Drosophila melanogaster: one gene and its partners. The protein of the gene in region 1 interacts with the protein of each later gene in a pairwise test. Each region holds a gene or a part of one and is shown on either strand. Other genes may lie near its edges. The genes, in order: CG15710, CG13991 and CG10948.

What was found.
Region 2: the proteins of CG15710 (region 1) and CG13991 interact in a two-hybrid assay, tested with the Drosophila melanogaster proteins (one large-scale study listed by BioGRID).
Region 3: the proteins of CG15710 (region 1) and CG10948 interact in a two-hybrid assay, tested with the Drosophila melanogaster proteins (one large-scale study listed by BioGRID).

The regions. Positions count from the first base shown.
Region 1 is NT_033778.4:16,347,005-16,350,574, reverse strand, and holds CG15710 (uncharacterized protein), read left to right. Parts: upstream 1-2,047; 5' UTR 2,048-2,108; coding exon 2,109-2,906; 3' UTR 2,907-2,961; downstream 2,962-3,570. Other genes in the region: wcd (wicked), read left to right, coding at 3,180-3,570.
Region 2 is NT_033779.5:6,137,330-6,141,085, forward strand, and holds the start of CG13991 (uncharacterized protein), read left to right. Parts: upstream 1-2,052; 5' UTR 2,053-2,219; coding exon 2,220-3,756.
Region 3 is NT_037436.4:12,848,151-12,851,906, reverse strand, and holds the start of CG10948 (uncharacterized protein), read left to right. Parts: upstream 1-1,789; 5' UTR 1,790-1,871; coding exon 1,872-1,875; intron 1,876-2,115; exon of another isoform or gene 2,116-2,167; coding exon 2,168-2,749; intron 2,750-2,811; coding exon 2,812-3,537; intron 3,538-3,756. Other genes in the region: Wbp2 (WW domain binding protein 2), read right to left, coding at 185-598, 754-992, 1,110-1,409, 1,576-1,631.

The DNA of each region.
Region 1 (3,570 bases):
AGCGATGGAGCACAGGGGCAGGTGGCCAGGCGCCACGCCCACAAGGAGCGACCGCAACATGCTGTAATGCGTGGCTCTATCAGCATTTGCATGTGCAGCTGGAGCTGGAGCTAAATGCGCCCGATACTTAAAGCCAACTAAAGGCCATATGTTAGCCTACACTGCCAAAGGACAAACTTAATGTCAACACGCTAATCTGTCAGTCGGCAGGAGTTGCAGCGCAGGATGCGAGATGCAGGGCGCGGAATGGGGGATACTGGCATGGCGGGGAGTTGGGAGTGCGACTGCAAAGGATCTGCCACAATGTCAGGCCACTTAAGGAGCGCTGAATCGCAGCGCCTCGCTGCACAGGAACTCAAGGATATTGGAAGTGGGCGGAAAATGGGCGGGGAACACTCCCAGAAAATGCAGCGATTCTTAGACAAACTTCAATCCTTGGAACTTGATTAGCTATTATTACTTAAGGCAAACGATTAAAAAAGCTTCTGCGTAAAGGATTAGTAGAAAGATATAAAAGAATCCCATATTCTGTTAATCTGAAATCAACAGATTCTGAAATGAAAAATATTCATATTTCAGATAGCTTACTTCAAAATAACTAAAAAGAATAGCCTAAATGGTTTAAAAAGCATATAATACATTCAAGAATAGTGTATGCTTTTTAAATAATTCACAATCTTTTGAGGAAATACCAACAACCCAACTTCGCGCTGCTTAAAATTAATGATAAGTATGTTTAATATTTATAGAAAATTATTTGCTAGTGTATCGCCGCCTGGATGGCGCAACAATAATGCTGGACCCTTTGAAATGACAAAAATTGGTTGCTCTCCGTGCGGCTTGACGCCTGACTTGGCAGGAGACACTCGAGGGCACCACAAATGCCAAGCCGTCACCCACCCAGGCACCCAACTAAACACCCACTGCTCCTACAAGCAACGTCCTCCCCCCGCGAAGGACGCGTCTTATCAACTATGCAGGGCTTTGTCTCTAAGCGATTGCAGGCGCCACCCCCCCTTTCCCTTCCAACCTGCCCCTGCCCCCTTTTGCTCCACGCAGTCAGCGTCTTTTGTTGCGCTTAATGAATTTTACGTAAATTTTACGAGCGCTGATTTCTGGCAGCAGCAGCACCACCCCAGCTATTAATCCACACTTTGGCGAGAGCACCACCCCCAGTGGATGGGTAAATTAGTGGGTGGTTGGGTGGTTAGTGGGTGGATGAGACTGGTGCTCTCCTGGTTGTGCGTGTGTAATGACAAGTTCAACAACAACTCGACATTGTCGACTGGTGACGAGGACGACGTGCTCCGACATTTGTTTGCCCAAGTTATGCAAATATTTTTCCAGTCAAGAAGTTTTTGTTTAATTGCATATTTTGACTCGCATTACGCGTGTCATAAAGCAGGGATCCGGAGCTTACCACAATGCCAGAAGTTGGGCGGGGATTAGAGGCACTCGAAAGACATGTTCCTGCATTTTACAGTTCAAAGACCAAACTAAACAATCAGTTTTACGAGTATAGATCTTATTCTGCCCAGGCTTGCCATTGAACTATAGCTATCTTCCTTAGAAATTAATTTAAATTAAATTTATATTTAAGTCTCTAAGATGATATTTTAAAAATAATTCCTAACACAGACGAAATCATGGAGAAGCCTTTAATATGGTTCATAAAACATAATTTATTTGCTGCGTTCGAAACTGTGAAGCTGACCTACTTCATTTAAAAACGAAATTAAACCGAATATATATAGTATGTATACTTCTGCTTTAGACAGTAAAAATGCATGAAGATTGTTTGCTTAATTGGTTAAACTAAATGATGGCTAAATATATTACCACCTCATTTATGGTAATCCGAATAAAACGTTTAATTTTTTTTTGGAGGAAAGCGTTGGATTCGAATTTCATTGCCTGGACAAATTTAAAAAGTTTACATTTTTGAGGCATACCTATCGCGTATACGCTTTCTTTCTTTTCCAGCCCTGACAGTTTCCGAGTATCGAGTATCGAGTATTACTTTCTATCTTTCAATGACAATGACCGGCGACTTTCTCACTTTCTTCGTACGCTTCTTACTGGCGAAACACAAGAGCCCACAAAGGATTATGACAAGTGCTGGCAACTGGATTTCCGAGGAGCTGGAACCAGCTACTCTACTGTCGATTCAGGAGGATAATGGTATTGTTACCAAGGTGTACGTGGCGCCCTGTTTGCAGCCGATAAAAGAGGAGAAAGTTTTCCTGGAGGACAACACGCAACGCTTCCACTGTCCGCTTTGCTCTAATGTGATTCGCACGGCCGGTGCCTACAAGGTCCATCTGATGGCCTGCCAAAGACGCTTGGCACGCATGATGAAGGATGTGCCGGACGTGTCCCAGCATCAGTGCAACATTTGCAAGAAAATCTTCTCCTCGGTGGATGCCCTGATCGGCCACAGGCTCCTGCATGGAAGCCCATCAATGAATCGCACCTGTGCATCCTGCCATGTCAAGTTCGGGACGGATCTGGAGTATCGCACCCATTTGGAGAGCCATCTGATACCGTGCGAGTCCACGGATGAATCCTACGAAGGGGCGTACACCATCACCAAGACCTTCAATTGCGTCTTTTGTCGCACGGAGTTCAAGGCCTGCTTTAAGCCTGGCCAAGTGACCCGTCGATACGCGTGCGACGCATGTATCGTAAGGCTGAAGGCCCAGGAGGAGGAGAAAAAGATCTTAGGGAAGAGAAGGCCCGAATTAATCTGTGATCGTTGTGGGAAAAAGTACAAATATGAGGGTTTCCTTCACCGTCATCTGAAAACTTGCCAGATGCCGGATAAATGCAAAAGAAAGCGTGAGATTGAAATCACCGAGGTCAGCGAGGTAACATTTACAGAAGTTGTGCAAAGTTTTAATAATTGATTATACAAATTCGCACATTTTAATTTTAAATTAAATAAATATATTTTTTAATTGTAATATTTTTTATAATTTTCAAATTATGGCGCCCATCCCACCGATATCTATTTCGATCTGCTATCGATGTGGTCACACTTATCGATAAATCCACCGTGGCGTGGTATTTTTGATTTAAAGCGTTAGTCGATTTCCCGCCCAGCTGCACGTGTATATTTTTTTGCGGTCCAAAGAAAAGTTCGTAAATAAACGAATTTGCGTGCATTTCCAGCGAACACGATGAGTTCAGACGAGTCCAGCGACGGTTTGGAGGAGCTGCAGAGTCTGAAGGCCCTCTACGGCCAGCAGGAGCAAGAGAAACCGGCAAAGATCAAAAGGGAACGTTATATTCCAAAGGCCTCGCAGGCCAAGGAGCTCAACTATGTGGAGGTGCCCATGGAAAAGGTGCTCTTCGGCGACAGGCAGCGACTGCTCACCAATCTAGCCAAGTCCGTGGGACAAAAGTTGCCGAACGATGACGAAGACGAGCAGGAGGAAAATCCCGGCCAGGCAAAGCCAGGCGACAAGCGGAAAGCCGCCTGGTCGGATTCCGATGACGAGGACCTGCAGGTGGGCGATGTCAAGAAGGCCACAAAGCACACGGGTCCACTGAACCACCTGCGCAAGGATA
Region 2 (3,756 bases), on another chromosome or scaffold:
TCGAAAATCAAACAAGAGTAAGTATCAGGCAATTTTACAGCCAAATGACTCGACTAGCACTTACCCCGTTGTTATTGGCTAACCTCACATTCTAGCTTTTATGGCACCCGTCTGAGTGGTTAACCTTAGTTGATCAAATTTTTAGAAAAAAGTGCTTTTGGTTGCATCTTGTTCAAATTGATTGACTTGCCGGCACTTGGCCATAAACCAATGTAATGCTAAAAGAAAATTGCCTTGTCTGAGCGGTGGAAAATGTATGTGTAATGAAATTTGCAGCGTCAATTGCATTCGTCTACTGGCCACACATAACGAAAGAGCCCGAAGGACATAGACCACTCATAGATCCTTCTGTAAAATGGTGGACAAAGAAAAGCTTTCTTTGCCGCATGTGTGAAAAAATGTATATGAAAAGTTACCCAATAAATTCAAGAAGCAAAACTTGGATGGTAGCCGACTGTGGCATACCTTTTATTGATTCGGATTAGCCTGAAATATTAAAAACATTGCTATTTAAAAGATACTTTTATAATGTTTCCGAAAATGGATATTCAACATGCAGATTATGTTAAATCCTAAGATATAGTAAGTAATCGAGATAGAAGCAATTTGGGGGAGTGCATTTATAGAAACATCATCCTTAAAGTTCCCGCAAACGCCTCTTCACCAAAATGGCAAATTTTACTGCCCGAAAGAAGTCAGTGAAACCCAATACTCAGGAAACTGGGTCTCCAAGGAGCATGCCATACAGTATGTACCCTTCAGCTTCGTCTTCATTTCCATCAGGCGTACCTATTTTATCTTTTTTCCACCGTGCCTTCCAAAGATTCCGGCGACGATGTCGGTTTTAAATTACTCAAAGAAAATGAATGTTACAACAAAAGTGAGTTTTAGCTGGCAAATTGAAAAAAAAAATGAAAGTCGAAAAGAAATTCGCACGGAAGCTGGCGGAGTGAATCGAATCGAATGCTTTACATGTTTTCCTCTAAAAATGAAAGAAAGTTAATTTAATTTGAAGTCTCGAATGCCCACATATGTGTCTTGTATCTGCATATTTGTGTTTGAATGCACGCGTGTGTGTTGGATTGTAAACGTAATTTAATTTAACCAAAAATGCGTTTATCAGTTATTCGAGTGCTTACTGTACTTGAAGCTTAAAGTCAATTAATATTCAATGGAAATTTCCGATACTTTCTGTCGAATACTAAGTGCTGTTGTAAATTAGCCAGAGACAAAACACTAATTGAATTAAGCGGATTTGCAAATTTATTGAACATGATTAAAGCAATTGCATTTTGGCTGGGCTTTACCATATTTCCGTGTGTGAGTGCCCAATTTTGCACTTAATCACTATTAGCAGAGATTTCTATAACTATAACATTTACCTATAACATACTAACAATTTCCTTCTTCATATAAAATAAAACAATCAGAATTCATCGAGAAAAAGTTGAGTTGATTGATTGTTTTTGATCGTCTTGCGCCCTACTGTACTTTTAAATATTATTGTTCATATTGTGATGAAATTTAATTACTTTTTAGAGTGCAGACATTTTAAATTATTCATTATTTTCTGATTGCACATATGTGGTACATACATATGTACATATGTGTAAGCCTGCTGGAGTGGGCAGTTGTATAACCAGCGCACGCAATAAGAAAAATTTCAGTTTTTAATTAAATTTGTACGGAAGTGAAGCCGTATTAAACGGAAATGTTGAACAGTTTGAATTCAGACCCGGCCGCCACCTCGTCATCATCGTCATCATCATCAGCAGCATCATCATCATCATCATCAGTGCCATTAATATGAGAATCATTGCCAACCTTCATTTTCGCAACATCCGTGCCTTTGTGTTGCCTGTCAGGTTGATTTTTGCGCTCCCGATTCAATTTTCACTTAACTCAATTTAATGGAGGCGGTGGCGAAAAACCTACTGGAATTCAAATCCGTTCGAAAAACAAACTTCTGAAACAGCAAGAAAAACTTCCAGAAAAATTTCGAAAAGGCTACATTGTTGAACAATTCATTTTAGTTTTCTACTAACTTCAACTTATAAATTCGTTCTACAGTTTTGTGGCTTTTTGTTAAAGCCAAACTGGGCAGGTTTAGCTCCAAATTTCATCGAACTACGTCCTATGCTGTTGAAATACTCCTGCTTGCCAAAAATACGCCAGCTTATATTTCTATTTGGATATTGGGCAGCCAGAAGAACCTAACGATGTCGATGCAACACCATAACTTGGCTGCGAAGAACTACCGCATGGAGACGGTGAATCGCACATTAAACATGCGTGCTCGGAACAAAAATGAAAGGGAATTGATTGGTGGCTTAACTGAGGTAATGGAGACCAAAGCTAAGACAAAGCCGAAAGCTGAAGCTACCGGCAAGCGGATATGTCCACCGCGTAAGAATCCGGAACGCAAGACGCGAGAGGAGCGGACCATCGAAAAGTTCCGCAACATCGACTTCTTTGGTCAGCGCGACTCGAACAATATATTGACGGTTCAGAATCTGGAGTTTCCCGACGTCAATGTCAAGCGCACGGAGCTGCACAAGCGCGACGAGTGCGGCAAGGTCGTTATCCGGGCCAGAGGACGTGACTTCGAGAGCTCGAGCAACTCCCACTTCAGGGATGGCATCGAGACGGTGAAGCTACGCAAGAGTGTCTGCTCCACGACGAGCACGGCAAAGAAGTCACAGAGCGACAGTGGCCAAAACGGCGGATCGATCAGAGAGTCGTCCGAGAAAGAACCGGACTCGGACGAGCTGGTTGACTCCATGCACTTGCCCTCCACGCGGCCGCCCCATTTCAAGGGCGAGGAGTGGCGACGACCGTGCCCGGCCAGCTTTGTGGCCGGTGCACCAAGGCCACGCATTGGCCGATGTCCCAAGAACTACGAGCAGCTGGCCAAACTGACGCCCGCCAGGCAGAAGTTCTTTCTTACCCAGGATCCGCGAAAGACCCACTGCCTGGTCAATCCGGTGGCGTTGCGCCACAAGCCATTGACCAAGGAGCAGGAGTTCAGCCTGATCAGTAAGCTGGTCAAGCATGGGGACAATCTCTGCGCCAGCACCGCATCGGAGACATCCGACACGCACATCTGCGAGGTGATCGATCTGCAGAATCCGCTGCGACTGGACTTTCACGGCATGGACTACAAGACGACGTACGAGCAGGACGAGGTGGAGCAGCAGAACGCGCTGACCTTTTGGCGCGTCCAGCGCTACATGGCACGGCGAAAGGCGAAGAAGAACACCAAGGTAAATGTCGAGGCCGAGCTGAAGGAGGAGCGCCTGGCCGTGCCGCAGCGCTACAATACGACGATCAAGGATACGCCCATAGAGACACCATCGCCGCCGCCATCGCCACGGCTGGTTCATCTGTATCGCAGTCCGGACAAGCCGGCCAACAAGCTAAAGATCGAAGAGGAGCGTCGGCGCCGCGCCGCACGCTACAAGGACATCTATCTGCGAAAGAAGCAGCGCGAGGAGGAGCAGCTGCTGGAGCGGCGCAAGCAGGAGGCGGCCATCAAGGAGATCGAAGGACGCACGGTCGCCGAGGCCGATCTGCGTGCCGATGTGGCCGTCATCGACGATGCAATTGAGCGCAGCTTTCGCAAACACGTGGAGCTGAAGCCAATTATACGGAAACGTAAGGTCTTCCCCAAGACTCTAACCGAAACGGAGCGCCTGAAGGCCATCATGCACCGTGAGGATTGTGTGCGTCGCGACAAGGCGAGGGTCACCCAGCAGT
Region 3 (3,756 bases), on another chromosome or scaffold:
CAATTAAATTCTTGATAACATTTTAGATCTTTAGATGTTTCGACTATTTTAAAGATGTTCATAATTTTCTTGTCCTTTTGCTCATATTTTTTTATCTTTTGCTAGAATAAAACCAATTTAGAAATGTGCATTGTGGGAGGGAAATGTTAAAAAAGTGATGAATGGGATGATGAGTTCTACTCACTTCCAGGGGGCAAGCTGAAGCCCATAAAGCTGGCTCCAGATGCGGCGGCTCCTCCAGCTGCTCCTGCTGCTTGTTGTCCGGGTGGCGGTGGTCCACCTGGATAGCCATTTGGATTTCCATTCGGTTGCTGAAATCCGGGGGTATTAAATCCGCCAGGAACATTGCCGTATCCACCATATGGCTGTGGACCATTGTACGTCTGAGCCGGAGCGGCGTACGGCGGCTGTGGTGGACAATTTGGGGCACATGAAGCGTACGGCGGAGGTTGGACATAGCCACCGGCCCATCCTTGTGGCCCATAGCCCGGCTGCTGTTGTTGCTGCTGCGGCGGCGGCGCTGAAAAACCATACCAATTGGGTTCATTCGACGACGGTGCCTGCGGCTGTTGCGGTGCTGGTTGGTGAGCAGGTGGTGCTAAGACGAAAAAGAGAGGAGTGCCCCATTGGGTTAAACGAAGCGAGTGCGTAGCGTGAATTTCGTGGGTAAGCCAGGTTGCCAATTCGCGTAGCCAGCGTGCCAAAACAAAAGCCGAGTATAGATTGGGTAAAGTGCACGTGCGTTTAACTTACCGATACCCGGATACGGCGGCGGATTGTCGCTCATATAGACCGTATTCGGCGCAGGGCCGCTGAATGCGTCATGCTGCGGCAGCCAGCCATAGTAGCCAGGTGGTGGCTGATATGCCGGCGGTGGTGCCTCATTCCAGGATCCAGCCGGCTGATATGGTGGCGGATCATCACCAGCCAGACCACCGCGGTGGTAGTTGTTCATCGCCGTCTTGGCGGAGCGCAGTAGAGCTTGACCATATCTATAAGAAATGGACTTGTTAATCAGAACATTATATATTCTCTTGAGTCTATTCAGTATTAAGACTTATCAAGAGATCCGTCTAATTAGTTTTAATTTAGGTGCACAATGCACTTACTCAATTGCGCCGCCTGCCTTGAAATGGAGCTTGAACTTGACCTCGCCCACGTAGTTTCCATTTGGCTGAGCGCGAACCTTTCCCTTGATGTAGTTGGCCCCGAAAACGGGCTGTTCGATTTCCACATCCGAAAGAGCAACAAACGGGGCACTGAACGACTGCATCGAATCCGAGGACTTCTTGCTATTGAAGATCATTCGGTGGGAGGTGAGATAAATCCTGCCACCTTTGGAGCCCTTGAAGATGGGATTGTCCTGACCGGAGAACTCCATGGAGACACTGTCGCTGTGGAGCAGTATGCTGAAAGTGTAAAAGCAGTTAATTTGTGTGCCATATTTCTATCTTATCGCTGGAACATAGGCTAATTTCCTTTCAAATCGCCAGCCACACGTCAGTGTTTACATTTATGACGTCAGGGATGTTCAGCATTTTCAGTGTTAATTAAAGGACTTTTCCGTTAACTTACTACTCTCCAGCATGGATGAGCACGCCATTGTTGGCGTGAGCCGTATTAACCGACATGTCTCTTTAATTTTCCAACTGTTTTGAGTCCACAAAAATTTGCAAAAATTTCATACAACTACGTTTTGTTTTTCTAGAAAACTGACGACAGCTGATGATTCATAGTGAAAAGTGTGGCAGCGCCGAAATTATCGGATATCGATACTCTTTTTAGGGTGACCAGTACGAGCAGTCACTCATCTCTAAATATAATTAGTTTTTTTTTATACATACCTGTCGTACAATTACTGGGGCGTTAATATGCGTAAGTGATAAGATAATGATTTTAAAAAGCCCACAAAATGTGTAGCAAAGAAAATGGAATAAATAGAAAGGTCTGGGAAATTAAGAAACAACAGTATTTGCGGTGAATTCGACTTTTATCAGCAGGTGGGACTTACGCCATTTTGGGCACTTGCCACCCCCCAGCTTTTATTTCCTTTTTTTACCTATCGAAAATTGAGGTGCTCAGCTGATTGGTTATTTTGTTTTGCTACCGGCTTCGTTTGGGTTGTTATCTCTTTTAAAGCAAATTACAAACTGTGTACATTTTGCAGTACCGCTCTTTGGGACCATGCCGAATGGCGTCAGTTTGCCAAATCACCCGAATTTCCTCAACCAATTGGCAGCTGCAATTTCCACGGCGGCCTCGAGCACATCTGTCGTGGGAAATCCCTCTTCGCCCCCCAAACAGATCCAGAATAAGATGGCAAAACAACAACAACAACCACAGGGCAGTGCGCCCATGGATCTGGAGAATGAGAACGAACACTCTGCGGATGTGAGCTCCTCGACGATGCACAAGGAACCCAAGTTGCAGGCCACATCCAACTCGCTCACTCTGCCCGATTCGACGCAACTATACCTGAATGGCTTGGTGCACACACCACCTGGATATCTGTATTTTCCGGCCACCCAAGCGGGTGGTGCTACTGCACCCGGCAATCCATCCTCGGCTGCAGGGGGATCCACGCCGGCAGCTTCAGCAAACAGCACCGCCAATGCGCAAATGCTCATGGATCCTACGGCCATGATGGCGGCGGCGATGCAACAAATGCAACAGATGCACTATGCAGCGGCAGCAGCAGCCGGAATGACCACAGAAACCGGAGCTGGACTAGAAGCAACTCTTAATGCGGGTAATGAAAGCAATACCAAATTGGAACCTTAAATAAACATTCTAATAAAAACATACTTTTAGATGGCGTTACACCAGCTGGCCTCAAGGAGGTGATCAAGACCAAGAACTGCATCCTGTTTCCACCTAATCCGAACGCACCTCCTCCCACAATAAGGGAGCGACCACCAGGATGCCGGACGGTGTTTGTGGGTGGACTGCCGGAAAACATAACCGAAGAAGTGATCCGGGAGATCTTCGAATCATGCGGCGAGATCACCACATTGCGCATGTCCAAGAAGAACTTTTGCCATATTCGCTACCGCCAAGAGGGTGCCATAGATAGGGCCATCTACCTATCCGGCTATAGATTGCGTATATCAGCGCTAAATGAACCTCCCAACTTTGGACGCCTGCATGTGGACTACGCACAGGCACGGGATGATCAGTATGATTACGAGTGTCGACAGAGACAGCATCAGAGGGAACAGCGTCATCGTGAGCGCATGTCGATGGACAGGATGCGATCGCAGTCGCCGCCACCAATACCGCACTACACGGATCACGAGGCTACTACTGTTGCGGAGCACCTACGCACCAACGAGACTTTTGTAAAGGCCATTCAAACGATTACCGCGTGGCTGGAGCGGGGAGATTGCACTAAGCGGAACGCCAATGTCTTCTATTCGATGATCCAGAGCACTCATGCCCATGTACGAAGACTCCATGCAGACAAACTGCAACTGGAGGAGGATCTAAAGAAGGCCAGAGACAGCTATCGCAACCAAATGGGCACCATGTCCACGCAATGTAAGTATTTCGGCCTTTCAGCCGGAAGATCAGCTTTCTTAGCTCTAGTCTAGACGGGAAACTAGGCGCCGATCCCACTTTGAAATCCTATTTTTCTGTTTACGTTGCGCCCGGGTTAGCCTTTTAGCGTCTGTATATCTGAACAATCTACCAGCGTACTACACATCCAAACACCTACACCTACACTGAAAACACACCATACCCATCCTACACAATATT